Sus scrofa: one gene and its partner. The protein of the gene in region 1 purifies or fractionates together with the protein of each later gene. This does not show direct contact. Links are inferred from orthologs where the notes say so. Each region holds a gene or a part of one and is shown in the gene's direction. Other genes may lie near its edges.

Evidence for each region. Proteins that work in one complex are often made in the same cells at the same time.
Region 2: the proteins of SMAD1 (region 1) and SKI purify together in Homo sapiens (affinity purification with western blotting, with the first as the bait; 3 studies listed by BioGRID). This does not show direct contact. The link is inferred for Sus scrofa from reciprocal best matches to the Homo sapiens genes SMAD1 and SKI.

The regions. Positions count from the first base shown.
Region 1 is NC_010450.4:82,923,766-82,930,654, reverse strand, and holds part of SMAD1 (mothers against decapentaplegic homolog 1), read left to right. Parts: intron 1-3,491; coding exon 3,492-3,749; intron 3,750-6,889. UniProt on the Homo sapiens protein: Transcriptional modulator that plays a role in various cellular processes, including embryonic development, cell differentiation, and tissue homeostasis.
Region 2 is NC_010448.4:64,185,462-64,193,046, forward strand, and holds the start of SKI (ski oncogene), read left to right. Parts: upstream 1-2,803; 5' UTR 2,804-2,851; coding exon 2,852-3,820; intron 3,821-7,585. UniProt on the Homo sapiens protein: May play a role in terminal differentiation of skeletal muscle cells but not in the determination of cells to the myogenic lineage. Functions as a repressor of TGF-beta signaling.

The DNA.
Region 1 (6,889 bases):
TGACAAGGTGATAACTAAAGTTCATATGGAAAAGTAAGCCCATGAGCGAAATATTAAAAAGGAAGAACTGGGAGAGGAGACTAGCTCTACAGATGTTAACACCACACAGTCTCTATCATGAAAACAGTCATCCTGAGGCACAGACTAGAATGGAATGGGATGGAATATCTACAGATAGACCCAGACATATATGGAGATTTGTGAGAAAGATGGTATCTCCAGTCACTAGGACAGAAATGGTTTTTTAATAAGTGGTATTAGGGCAACTGGCTGACCATTTAGAAAAAGATAAAAATAGACCTATTCCTTTTTTTTTTTTGCTTTTTAGGGCCACCCCCGCAGCATATGGAGGTTCCCAGGCTAGGGGTCTAATCAGAGCTATAGCCTCCGGCCTACACCACAGCCACAGCAACGCCAGATCTGAGCCAAGTCTGCGACCTACACCACAGCTCACAACGCCTGATCCTTAACCCACTGATTGAGGCTAGGGATCAAACCTGCAACTTCATGGTTCCTAGTCAGAGTCGTTTCCGCTGCACCACGATGGGAACTCCTAGATCTATTCCTAATACTGTGAGTAAGCTGAACTCCAAAAGGATCCAAGATTTAAATAAAATATGAAACTTTATATGTACTGGAAGAATGCATGGGTGAATTCCTCCTTACAGTCTGGGTGTAGAAGACGACTTTCTAGGACTCAATCCATATTCAATAAAAGAAAATATTGATAAACTTGACTATCAAAAAAAAATAAATTTGCACATAAGCAAAGTCAAAAGACAAATTAGGAAGTGCCCATGGCATGTGGAATTTTCTGGGCCAGGGATCGAACCCAAGCCACAGTAGTGACAACGCTGGGTCCTTAACCCACTGAGCCACAGAGCATCTCCCCTCAATACCTTGTTGAAGTTCATTAAAATATGCCTGTCCCTATATCAGCAGTGGCAGAATCATCTCATATTAATCAGCAGAGGTGAGCAAAAAGGTATTGCTCTTGTCCGGCTCCGGTATAGAGGGCTAAGTTGTTGGAGTTGGTGGCTAACTTCCCGGGTCATGTACAAAAGCTGACTGAGCTCCCCCAGAGTGTACACTAAGGGCAGCCCTGTGCTTTAGAGCCAGACCACTGCACACCACAGCAGTTACCCGGGAACACATGTGCGGAGTGTGCAGAAATACACTGCCCCCTGCTGCCGCTGTCATCTGCAGGCAAGGAAAGGAAGTAAATTCCCATTTTGAAAACTCTCTTGGGCAGTAGGAATTACTAAAACAGGGGCTTCAGTAAGGGGGTCGTAGCGGGGGTGGGGTGGGGGGGGAGATGGAGAGTTGACTTGAGTTGCTGTCTGGCGCTGCAGTTGGTGGGCGGGGTCTAGAGGCCTCTGTTTTCGGCCTTTTAAAGGTGCGGGTCAGAATGGGGGCTAGAGCTAGCTGACCATAAAAGGCAAGCTGGAAGTGGTAACAGGCTGCGACAACAGAAAGAAAAAGAGAACGTTTGATTACGGAGGTAATTTAAAGATACTGTACTATTTCAGAGCATGTGTTTATTTTTGGAATATAGAGTTCTATGGTGTTGGGGAAACTTTGTGACTATTGGGAACTCTTTCATCAACAAAACAAGTGTATAAGGAGGAATTATGCCTTTATTCCCTTAGGGTTTTCTTTTTTTTTTTTAATTGAAGTATAGTTGATTTACCATGTTCTGTTAAGTTTCAGGTGTACAGCTAAGTGTCTCAGATATAGATAGACAGATATGTGTGTATGCTTTTTCAGATTCTTGTCCATTACAGGGAGAAATTATACTTTTGATGACGATTTGGACAGATTTCCATCACTGTGTGAGAAATGAAATACACTTATACGGAAAAGATTTGTTTCTAAGGGATCAAATAGTAGGGAAATCTTATTGCTACAGGATTTGGGGAGATTTAAGATACAGCATGTGAGAAATTTTAATACCTTCAAAAACCCATTTTTACTTATACAATTTTCTGCTCATGAATTAGTGATAATCCAAGTGTTAGGAGCACTTTTTGCTGTAGAAATTATCTAAGTCATGGATAGATTCCCTGGAAAGCCCTCAAAAATCTACTTAGTTCCTAATGCCACTAAATACGGGTTTCTTTTGGAAAATACATTGAGTCCGTAACTCCCAACAACAATCACAGATTTTAAATCTCTTCCCATGCTGTTTACCAAACGAGTTGTTTTTCTCTTTCTGCCAAGGTCATAAGGGCAGTAGGCATTCCAAGGACCTTTATTATTGGGAGGGGCCGCCTGGTGACCCTGGCCAGAGGCTGAGGCACTAACCCCTACCAACCCTTCCCTTCCTTGATCATTGCCTTTGTAGTGGCTCTGCCTCCTGAGGTTTCTGGGGGTTGGGGACCAGCGAGCTGCTAATTCCTAGGTTCCTAACATGCAGAGCTTTTAAGAATGGCTTGCTTTATTTCCTTCTCTTCCAGTGTGTACATTTGGGGACCTTTATACCTTGGGTATTCAGGTAGCAAAATGTGGGTTGTATGACCTGTTTCTTCCTTTGCCTATCAGGTAGTGATAAGGATTACTGAGAAGTGGGTAAATACATTAAGATCCTTAAAGAGGAAGTTTTCTTCATGGCTCAGCAGTTAACGATTCCAACTAGGATCCATGAGGATGCAAGTTCGATCCCTGGCCATGCTCAGTGGGTTAAGGATCTGGCGTTGCCATGAGCTGTGGTGTAGGTTGCAGATGCAGCTCACATCCCGTGTGGCTGTGGCTGTGGCTGTGGCCGGCAGCTGTAGCTCTGATTCAACCCCTAGCCTGGGAACCTTCATATGCCATGGCTGTGGCCCTAAAAAAAAAAAAAAAAACCCTAAAAGAGAACATGTTCATAAGGTATGAATGCTAGGACATAACATAAAATCTGCCCCACAAAACATCGTATTTTGTCTGATCATCTCTCTTCATTGGCATTTGGATTTTATCCTGCTTGCTGCATTTACCCTCTCAGCTTTATTTACTACACTTCCTTTGGTTTAAAGCGAGTTAATGTGTCCGTTTGAAACACTGGTGGAGAATAATTCTTATCATTCAATAAATATTATTAACTCTTAAAGGTAGAATCTTATTAGCCAAGAATATGAACTGGAATTGTCAATGGTGATGTCTGCTCTTAGCTGTGCTTTGGTTTTCAGTGAATGAAAAAATTAAGAATCGGGTAATCTTCACGCTTTTAACCTAAAAGAATAAATGTCACAGACTCGCCCTGGGCAGTTTGTGCACACTGCAGGTCGCGCATCCACCAGCTGTGATCCCAAGGAGACTAGTTTTTGCTGCATTTGTTCCCGAGTGAAAAAAATGACTTTTCATTCGAATGGTGCTTTTGAGTTGGCAGCAGACCAGAGTTCACGTAACTTGTTGTTACTTCCAGATTCTGTCTCAGCTTGACTGTGATGTTGTTAGAGATGTTCATCATGCTCATCTTTGTCCCTCTTGTTTCTCTTTCCCTTTTTTCCCAGTTCTTCCTCCAGTCCTGGTTCCGAGACACAGCGAATATAACCCTCAGCACAGCCTCTTAGCTCAGTTCCGTAACTTAGGACAAAATGAGCCTCACATGCCACTCAATGCCACTTTCCCGGATTCTTTCCAGCAACCCAACAGCCATCCGTTTCCTCATTCTCCCAACAGCAGCTACCCAAACTCTCCTGGAAGCAGCAGTAGCACCTACCCTCACTCTCCGACCAGCTCAGACCCAGGAAGCCCCTTTCAGATGCCAGGTAGGTGGGAATGTTCGGTGACATTCTGGGGTCAGCACAGCGTCGAGGAGAAGCAGGGGTGCCTGGAATGGAGAGGGCTTGCCAGCCTTGGTACGTGGCCCTGGGCTCTGAAACTCAGGATACGACTTTGAATGAAAGGGGGCCAACTAAGCCAGTGTTTCATTTGTCCGGCACAGATGCTTGAATATATTTTCATTTTTAATTTTGAAAGGTTTTGAAACAGCTGCATCCTTCTGGGAGTGGCATAGTTGTTACAGCTTTTGCTCTTGATGAAAGAGAGAGAGGAAAAAAATAGTGCCCTGCACACATTTGCTGTTTTCATGGGAGGGAAAAACCCTTTCATGAGTGCATCCTCAAAAAAGCTATTTCCTGGGGGATCCCACCCCCCTACTTAATTAAATTCATTTCAGTGGTGAAGTAATCCTGAGAAACTTTAACCTATGCTTTAACAACAAAGGATTTGCAGCAGAGGTACTGGAAACCATCTGCTTGTTTAATTTAGCAAAGGCAAGAAAATCATCATCCTTCTTTTTTAGACTTCTCTGGTGGTGTAATGTTTGTCAAATTAAGTGATTAATTAGGACACTATATTTTTCAAGTTAGAGGTTAATAAGTAAGCACCTCAGAACAAAAAACGATTAGTGCCAAGTTTCTTGCCAGTAGACCTCACAATGGATAATCTAAACAAAGACATACTTGACATCTGTTAACATTTCAAGAAGGGAAAACGAGGAGCTCCCTGGTGGCCTCTTGATTAAGGATCTGGCGTTAGGGATCACTGCTGTGGTACGGGTTCGATCTCAGGCCCAAGAACTTCCAAATGCTGCAGGCACGGCCAGAAAAAGGGGGTAGGGGGGAAATGAGTGGGCAGGCATATTTATTGTGCCACTTAAAATGTTTTTAAGCAAACTGGAATTCAACAGCAAAGTTGGTGTGTCCTCAAAAATTGAAAAGTGGTCGTTCTCATTGCAGCTCAACAGAGTAAGAACCTGACATAGTGTCCATGAGGATGCTGGTTCGATCCCTGGCCTCACCCAGTGTGTTAAGGATCCATCTGCTGCCATGTAGGTCGCAGATGCAGCTTGGATCCAGTTTTGCCATGGCTGTGGTATAGGCCTCAGCTGTAGCCCTGATTCTGCTCCTAGCCTGGGAACTTCCACATTCCACAGGTGCGGCCCTAAAAAAGAAAAAGGAAAAAAAAAAGATTGAAAAGTCGTTCATACTTGTTATTCCTATCCCTTTTTTTGGGGGGGTGCTTTTCAGGGCCACACCTGCAGCACATGGAAGTGCCTAGGCTAGGGGTCAAATTGGAGCTGCAGCTGCTGGCCTACACCACAGCAACACTGGATCCTTAACCTACTGAGCGAGGCCAGGGATCAAACCCCTGTCCTCATGGATATTAGCTGGGTTTGTAACCCACTGAGCCACAACAGGGAATCCTCCTATCTTTTATGTATTTATTTACTGCTGTTTTACATTTTAAGCCTCTTTATTTTGCCTTGTTCTGTTTATTTTTTTCAACTGAAAACTGTTTAAGACGAGATGGGAGAGAGATTAGTTTAAAAACCAAACTAGTATCATTTGCTGGTTTCCTCTGCCCGACTCCCTTCCGCACCCGTTGGGTTTGATGAACAGGTTGGTGGCAGGGAGACGGTTTTGGAAGGTTTGGAGCAGTGGCAGACCCAGGGTGGGCTCAAGAGTGAAACAAATTGAAGATTATTGCCAGAATTTACACTTTGTTCCCCGGCTGTCGGGGATTAGGGCCCAGGCCAAGTAGCGGAAATAAGGAGAAAGCTGCAGGGGTGCCAGGAGGGCCTCGTGAGGACACCAGAGCCCCACCCACAGTGTCCAGCCCCTCCCAGTGATGCTGATGCTGTAGGCTGTTGATGAAATTTTCACCAGCTTGTTTGCAGAAACGTGTTGAACTTGGTCTCAAGGGAGGCTCTTTGTCTCCCTGCCTGGCTGGAAGGAAAGCAGAGGCAGGGTTGCAGCTGCAGGGAAGCACGCTGGTTAAAAAGCTGGAGAAAGGGTAGAAAAGGTATCCTGATGGGGTCCCCATGGTCTGCCTTTGTGCCCTGAGGCCTGGCTTGTTAGCACCTGGACCATGGAACTGGGACTCTGTGAGAGTCAGTCTGGGAAATGGCTGAGAAACTGAAAAGAGCAGCATTAGCTTTTAGTATGCGATGGTTGGCCTGAGAGCCAAGCTCTTGGTGCTTCCTTGGCCTGATACTTTGTTTCTGGCTGTCATCTGTGCTGGGGTCCTAAGTGGGCTCACTGTAGCCCGTGGGGAACTCGTTTTTCCATCACACAGGCTTGTTTGTGGGAAAGCCACACCCTTGATTTTATTTAAGAAAGCACAAGACTTGTGCCCATGTTCTGTTTCAAAAATCTCAGTGTTGGAGTTCCTGCTGTGGTTCTGCGGTTAAAGAACCCGACTAAGATCCATGAAGACTCAGGTTCAATTCCCTGGCCTTGCTCAGTGGGTTAAGGATCTGATGTTGCTTTGGCTGTGGTGTAGACCAGCAGCTGCAGCTCTGATTCCACCCACTAGCCCAGCAACTTCCATCTGCTGTGAGCGCAGCCATTAAGAAAAAGAAAGAGAGAGAGAGGAAAGAAAGAAGGAAAGGAAGGAAGGAAGGAAGGAAGGAAGGAAGGAAGGAAGAAGGAAGGAAGACGGAAGGAAGGAAGAAAGGAGGAGTTCCCATCGTGGTGCATCGGAAACAAATCTGACTAGGAACCATGAGGTTGTGGGTTTGATCCGTGACCTCACTCGTGGGTTAAGGATCTGTCGTTGCTGTGAGCTGTGGTGTAGGTCAAAGACGTGGCTTGGATCTGGTGATGCTGTGGCTGTGGCATAGCCGACAGCTGTGGCTCTGATTAGACGCCTAGCCTGGGAACCTCCACATGCCACGGGTGTGGCCCTAAAAAGACCAAAAAAAAAAAAAAGAAAGAAAGAAAAAGAAAGAAAGAAATGAGAAAGGAAGAAAGAAGGGAAAGAAAGAAGCACATTGTTGGCCTCTTATTTGTTAGCTGGCTATGAGCTTTCCAAAAGAAACATGTACGCAAATTCTGAAATAGAAGATAGTTGTGATCTTCTATTTCCTATTATTCCGCTACTGGGAACTTGAAACCAGTGAGAA
Region 2 (7,585 bases), on another chromosome or scaffold:
GATGAGTTTGGGTGCTCCCTGCTTCTCAAGGCCCTTCACCCCTCACCTGTCCCCTGCTGCACCCACTGCACCCCAATTCAGCTTCAGTCTGGGTTCTGAAGCTCTGGGAGTGTCGGCCCGTGCCCAAGGCCCCTTCCCAGGGCCCAGCAAAGCCGGGGCTGGGGGCCGGTGGAGCACGGTGAGCCAACCACTGCCCATCTGGGGGGCTCAGACTCAGGGCCCTCCTGGGAGTGCCCATCGGGTCAAAAGAGCAGGAGGAATTGTGTGCTTGGCTGGAAACCCTCCCTCCAGCCCTCTGGTGCTCCAACCAGCTTCTTCCGATTACAGGTTGTCTGAGCAGTATGGGAGTCAGGTCCACGTGGAAGGAACCGAGCCAGGTGCAAAAGAAACATTTTTGGCCTGTACAGTGGCCAAGAAAACAGCCTCCGAAAGTAGAGAAGTCCTTTTTCTTGTTTTTTAAAACACCCCTTCCCCAGTTTTCTCGTGTTGGGGCACTGGAGTGAGCAGTGGAAAGGACAGTCCCCAGGACATAGGTGAGGGCGGGCAGGGAGCAGTCAGGTCCTCAAACGTGGGGCACTGCGCCCTGAATCTCAAGGGCCCCAGAGCCTGCCTGGGTCTGCAGGTGTACAGGTGTGGGGTCACCGGCCCATCCTAGCTGCCTATCCAGACACGTGGCCGTGCCCGAGAGGTGACTGAGGCCTGCGGAGATGCCCGGTCGGCTGCCCGGAGCAGACACTCCCCCAGAGCAGAGCTGGGTTGGGGCCAGCTCCAGCTTCCCCTGGGGAGTCAGGAACAGCAGGTGACAGGCTGAAGTGGGTGCGGCCTTCTCACCCACTGTGCCCCATGTGCCCCCCAGTGCCCAGGCCAGTTTGGGTGCTCTCATCCCGTGGAGGAAAAGGTGCCACTGCCGGGTTGGGCTGGAGTGTCCTTCTGCCCTCAGGTTGAGCACAGCCTAAACCTACCTCCTGACCCCGAGTGCCCTGCCCCCAGGCCTCTGCTGGATGCTGCCTCCTCTGGGGGCGCCCCCCCTCCAGCCTGTTCCACCCGGCGCCTTCTGGTTGGCCCCTTGCCCTAGTACAGCCAGTGTGTGGAAGGACGGCAGTGGGGTCTCGGCCTAGGTGCCCTGCAGATGTATAAATGGCTCTCTGGGCCTGGGCGCTGCGGGGTTAGGGCAGGGCCAGTCTGTACTGAGGACACGCGCTGCGCAGCGACCTGGGAGGACCACGCGGACACAGCCCCCAGAGGCAAGCCCTGTCCTGTGGCGCAGCAGTCCTGCACTGGAGCTGGCAGGAGGTGCGGCTGCTGGCTGTGTGGGGAGACCCGGGTGCGGGGTCACAGCGTGGCCCTTCCTGCCAGCAGTCATGCCTTGGCGGTCGGTCCCCAGGACAGGCTGCACGGGGTCTGTCTCCTGCGGGGGGGGTGTGTGTCTCCGGGGTGCTGCACTCCTAACCCACATCGTGTTGCTTGGTGTCCCTGTACTATGTGCGACTTGGATCATTTTGCCTGGTGTCCCCATCGTGTGCGTGGGGACCGCGGCGTTGATGGAGGACGCGCGGCCCGTCCTGTCCGCTCCTCAGCTGGTCTGCGGTTGTGGTGGGGGCCCCGTGTGGGTTTCTGGGCTCTGGTGGCGACGGGGCGGCGGGCCGGGGGCCTTCGCGGCCGCGCAGGAAGCGGCCTCCGCCGGATGAGGGGCCTGGGGCGCCGCCGTCGCCCCCGCGGAGCCGCCTTCCGGCGGGTGGGGCCGATCGGCGCCGAACAGCGCTGAACCCCTGGCGGCTGCGGCCGAGCGGAGCCGAGCGGAGCCGAGCAGACCCGAGTCCCCGGCGGGCTGGGCCGAGCGGAGCCGAGTCCCGGGCGGACGGGCCCGAGCGCGGCCGAGCGCGGCCGAGCGCCGGGCGTGGGCGGGGGGAGCGCGCGTTCCTGGAAGAGCCGGGTCGGGGGGCCGGCGCATTCCAGGCCGGCGCTCGGCTGAGGCGGACGCGCGGCCCCAGACGACGCGCGGGGCGGGGCGGCGGCGCGGCGCGGGGCGGGGCGCGGGGCGGGGCGGCGGCGTGAGCTCAGCGCCCGGCGCTCAGTCCGAGCTGGAGCGAGCCGCCGGGAGGATGTGCGCCGATCTCCGCGCCGCCGCCGCCGCCGCGGTCTGAGGCCGCCGCCACAGGCGCTCCGCCGCCCCGGAAGCCGCGCGCGCGCGCGCGCGGGCGGGCGGGCAGGCCGCGGAGCCGGGCGCGGGCGGCGGGGTGGGCGCGGGCCGGGCCGGGAGGCCGGCGGCGGGCGCGACGCGGCCGGCCAGCGCCGCCGGGACGAGCCGGGCGGGCGCCGCGCGGTGGGAGGAGCGGGGCGGCGGCGGCGGCGCGCCGCGCGAGGACGGCCCGGCGGGCCCCGCGCCCGCGCCCCCGCTCCTCCCGGGCCCCTCGGCCTCGGCCGCCGCGGCGATTCGCGCCTCGCGGCGCCGGCACCTGCCCGCGCGCCCCCCGCGAGCCCCGGGCCCGCGAGCGTTGGCGTTGGCGTTGGCGGCGCGCGCTGGGGCATGCCCCGCGCCTAGGGCCCGGGGGGCGCGCGGGGGGCGCGCGGGGGCCCGGGCGGCGGCGGGCGCGGCGCGGGGCGCGTGGATGTGGCGCCGGGCCCGGGCGGCGGCGGGCTGCAGCGGCGGGACCCCTTCGCCCCGCCCGCCTTCCCCTTCGCGCCCCCGGGCGAGGCCGAGGCCGCGGCCGTGATCGGCCGGGAGCCGGTGGCGGGGGGCGGCCGGGGCCGGGGCCGGGGGCGCCGCCGGGGCGCGCGGGGCGGCGGCGGCGGGGGCCGCGGGGGCCCGGGCGCGCGGGAGCGGGAGCGGCCTGGGGAGCCGGAGCGCACCATGGAGGCGGCGGCGGGCGGCCGGGGCGGCTTTCAGCCGCACCCGGGGCTGCAGAAGACGCTGGAGCAGTTCCACCTGAGCTCCATGAGCTCGCTGGGCGGCCCGGCCGCCTTCTCGGCGCGCTGGGCGCAGGAGGCCTACAAGAAGGAGAGCGCCAAGGAGGCGGGCGCGGCCGCGGTGCCGGCGCCGGTGCCCGCGGCCGCCGAGCCTCCGCCGGTGCTGCACCTGCCCGCCATCCAGCCGCCGCCGCCCGTGCTGCCCGGGCCCTTCTTCATGCCGTCCGACCGCTCCACGGAGCGCTGCGAGACCGTGCTGGAGGGCGAGACCATCTCGTGCTTCGTGGTGGGCGGCGAGAAGCGCCTGTGTCTGCCGCAGATCCTCAACTCGGTGCTGCGCGACTTCTCGCTGCAGCAGATCAACTCGGTGTGCGACGAGCTGCACATCTACTGCTCGCGCTGCACGGCCGACCAGCTGGAGATCCTCAAAGTCATGGGCATCCTGCCCTTCTCGGCGCCCTCGTGCGGGCTCATCACCAAGACGGACGCCGAGCGCCTGTGCAACGCGCTGCTCTACGGCGGCGCCTACCCGCCGCCCTGCAAGCAGGAGCTGGCCGCCAGCCTGGCGCTGGGCCTGGAGCGCAGCGAGCGCAGCGTGCGCGTGTACCACGAGTGCTTCGGCAAGTGCAAGGGACTGCTGGTCCCCGAGCTGTACAGCAGCCCGAGCGCCGCCTGCATCCAGTGCCTGGACTGCTCTCTCCTGTACCCACCGCATAAGTTCGTGGTGCACTCGCACAAGGCCCTGGAGAACCGGACCTGCCACTGGGGCTTCGACTCGGCCAACTGGCGGGCCTACATCCTGCTGAGCCAGGACTACACCGGCAAGGAGGAGCAGGCGCGCCTCGGCAGATGCCTGGACGACGTCAAGGAGAAGTTCGACTACGGCAACAAGTACAAGAGGCGGGCGCCCCGGGTGAGTGTCCTGCGAGCGGCGGCGGCGCGCCTGGGGGGGGGCGGCGGCGGTGGGGGGGGGGTGGTGGCTGTGGGCAGGGGCTGGGGCGCGCGGTGCGACCTGTGCTTCCTCCGCCTCCACACGTCTCGGTGTTTTGTTTTGTTTTGTTTTAAGGAGACTGGGGTGGGGGGGCAGGGGAGTGTCCTTGTCCCCCTAGAGGGCCAGGTAGCCCGGGAGGAAGAGCCTCCTGTCTGACTCCCAGCCTGAGCCAGGCTGGCCTGGTTGGGAGCCCTGGGGAGCCTGGGGCAGGCTTGGTGGGCGAAGCCTTGCTGAGGCCCACGGTCATTGCCCAGACAGCCGGGAGGGGCAGGCTGCAGACCTTGGACTCTCTGTCCCGAGTCCCCGGGAAAGTGGTTCTGGCTGGGCCCAAGCTGGAGCTCCAAGTCCAGTCCTTCCTCGGGCCCAAAGCAAGTGTCCAGCCCCCATGCGCGAGGGGGACTGCCCTGGCCCCCAAGCTCCCAGGCTCGCACACGGGGTGCCTGGCACTTCCCAGCAGGCAGAACTTGGCCAGGCGGGGCCTGTTTGTGCCTTGAAGTCTCGGGAGACAGACTCAAAGCCCAAGCCAGGTGTCCAGGCCCTGGTGGCAGGGGGCCGAGACTTGGCGACTCCAGCTCTCTGTGTCTGCCCTGGCCTGGCAGGCAGTGAATTGTGGAGTCCCCCGTGTGGGGGCGAGGGCTGCTTGGCACAGGGCTTGGGGACTGGTCAGCGGGCACCCAGGGCCCCGGGTGTCAGGGTAGCCGCCGGCCTGTGATTCGTTTTGGACATGTCCTTATCTCCTTGTTTCCTTCTCGCTGAAACGCCGAAGGGTGCAGCAGGGAGGCCGCTGGCCGAGGCGCTGTTGTTTGCCAGGCTGGGGGTCTGTGTGATCCGGCCTGGCTGCTCCCGGGCCACCAGGCGCCCCAGCCCTCCATCAGGGTCGACACCAACTTTTCATGGCGTCTTCCCCCCGCCCCAAGTATTTGCAACTTTTCTTTGAAATATGCAGGCTTATTAAATTGCACACACAGAATGCTGCACTGGCTCAGCTATTCTTGGGAGGCCTAATTAATTCAGCTATTGCATCAAACTTTTTTTTTTCCAAATCTGTGAATAGATGCTCCCCCCAGTTCTCTCTGGGCGCCTCTCCAGCGGAGTGTCAGAGTCTCAGGGAGCGGAGGAGGGGAGGGAATAAGGGCCTGCTGCCCGCGCTCAGAGGGGCCACCGCGTGTGCGTCCGTGTATCTGGTGGTGGTGCTGCCCTTGGCTAGGCCAGCGCCCAGGTGGCAGCTGTCTGCAGGCTGTGGAGTTGGCACGGGGTGGGGGAGCCGGTCTGGGTGGGCAGCTCGGTGGGGGAGGGTGCCCATGGGAACGGCTGCCGGCAGATCTCAGCAGGCTGGCCAGGCCCGTCGTGCAGGCTGCTGTTGGCTGTGGGTGGCGTGATGGGTGCTCCCCGGGGCCTGGGGTGCCCGCTCCCTCGACAGCCATCTTGCCGGCGCTGGTGGGTTCTGGCGGGCTGGTTAAGCCTGTGGTGGGCAAGGCTGTGGCGGGTTCCTCTGCTCCAGAGTGGACAGCAGAGGGTCCACGGGTGGTTGGGACTGCGGCAGGGTGTGTGCCCGTCTGGGTCCTGGTCTGGGTCCTGGGTGGTTGGGACTGTCTTGCTGGGGTCTGCTTTTTGTCATCGCTGAAGGCCCTTCCGGGCCCTGGTGTCCGCAGGCTCAGGGAAGGCCTGGCCCAAGCTGGTGGCCTGGAGGGGAGGCCGGAGCATGCTGGTGATTTCAACAGATGGTCAGCGCCCCGTCCTCCTCCGCTGCTCTCCGCAGTGCTGCTCGGAAACCTCGTTTCCTGCTTAGAAAAACGCCACGGGTGACGATGAAGACAGGGTCATCGGAAGGGGTTGGAGTCTCCGGGTCTCAGTGTCACCCCGCCCTTGGTGACCAGGGTCGCGGGCCTCCTCCAGGCCCCGGCTGCTGGCCGGCCGCTCCCTGGCTCCCCCCCCCCGCCCCCCGTCTTGGGACCCGCCGCCCTGGCCCTGTGGCTGAGCAGCCGGGAATTCTGGGGTGCCTGGTCCCTTTGGGGTGCGCCCGGCCGTGCCCTTGCCTGTCTACCCGCCAGCGACACCCGGGAGGAGGCGGGGGTCTCAGCCTCAGGGTTGTTCTGGAGGCAGCAGCCTAGACAGACCCTCCCTCCCAGTGCCTGCTCGGGCCCCGCTCCGCCCGCTCCTCGCGCCCGGGTCTTCATGGAGTCTGTTTTGACTTTTTTCCGCCTCTTTTCTGGCTTATTTAAATATGTTTGTCCCACTGAGAACGAGGCCCGAAGGGAACCAAGACTGTTCTGGGCCCTCTCTCAGCAGGGACACGGCTCGCCGGGCCTCGGGGTCCCGGTGTTGGGGGCCTCGGGGTGGCCCGGGTCTCCTGCCGGCCGGGACTCCTCTGCCATCAGCAGCGGCGTGAGCCCCGTGGCTCTGAGGCCCGACCGAGGCTTGCTCTGCGCTGCCTGCGGCCTGACCACGGCGGGGTGGCTGTCCCTGTGGTCGCCCCAGCGAGGGCCGGGGGCAGGGATGGGTCTCCAGCCTCGAGCCCGGAACCCCTGCGTGCAGGCGGGGCCGTCCTCAGCGACACTCTGCGCCTTGCCCTCAGCCTCGCGGGCTCCCTGACCTCGAGGCACTGGCTTGATCTCTTTGTGCCTCGGTGTTCTCACGTGGGAAAGGGGGGCTGTGGTAGGTGGCGGCCGCTGCCGACGGTTTTGGGGTGTTCCGGTGGCGAGTGCCGCCAGGCGGGGCGGGGATGCGGGGTGAGGGGCCGGGGCCTTTCCCGCACCGTCTCCCCTTCTCTTCTGTCCACGAGCTCTTTGCACGGCTGAGGCCCTTTGCACTTGACCGTGGGGAGTGCTGTCGGTTTGGGGGGCGTTGGTGCCGCCAGCTCCCTCCGTCCTGCTGGCTGCTGACCGCGGCCTCTGGGGGCACAGAGGTCCCAGTTCTCAGAGCGGAGACCGTGTGGCCGCGCGTTGTCCCCCGTCCTTCCAACGCTGGGCTCTCCGGGGAGGCTTTGTCGTAGAACTGCCCCTGCTGTCTGCCTGGGGCTGCTTGGCTGACGGCCCCCGAGGGGTGCAGCCTGAGCTTCCACGACGGCCCTGTAGGGAGAGCGGGGCTCCCTCAGAGCAGAGACTGGCGCGGCTGTGCGCGCAGAGGCCCGTGTCGTGCATCTTGTGGGGAGTGGCTGCGGCTTTGGGGGGGGCCCTGGCCTGTTCGTGTCGCGTGTTCAAGCTGAACCGACCCCGGGGAGGCGTGGCATCGGGAGCGCCCAGAGGCTGGAAGGGACTCGGGCCAACATGCTTCGGGTGCCCCCTCTTAAACAGCGGGGGCGAGGGGGCCGTGTGCCCAGGTGCCCTGGGGTCGGGCCGGGTGTGGAGGGAAGTCAGCTGCCTCTCGGGCCACTTGCTGTGCTTTGGGTCTCTGAGGGGTTCCGCGACGACTTCCTGGTTGGGAAGGTGGGTGCCGTCTCAAGGGATGCCCTGAGGCGAGGCTCCTGAACGGTTTCAGCCCCACGCCCTGTGGTCGGCCGAGCCGCCTCCCGTGTGTGTGCGGTGAGCAGCCATGCTCACCTGCCACCTGCAGGATCTCCCTTCTGAGCTGGGTGGGGCCCCCCGTTGCCTCGGGACAGCGGGGCCATTGGGCGGCTTTGCCTCTGTCCCAGCTGCCTCCCGGGGTCCCTCGTCGGCACGGGGCCTCTAGAGGAGGGCTCTTGATTCC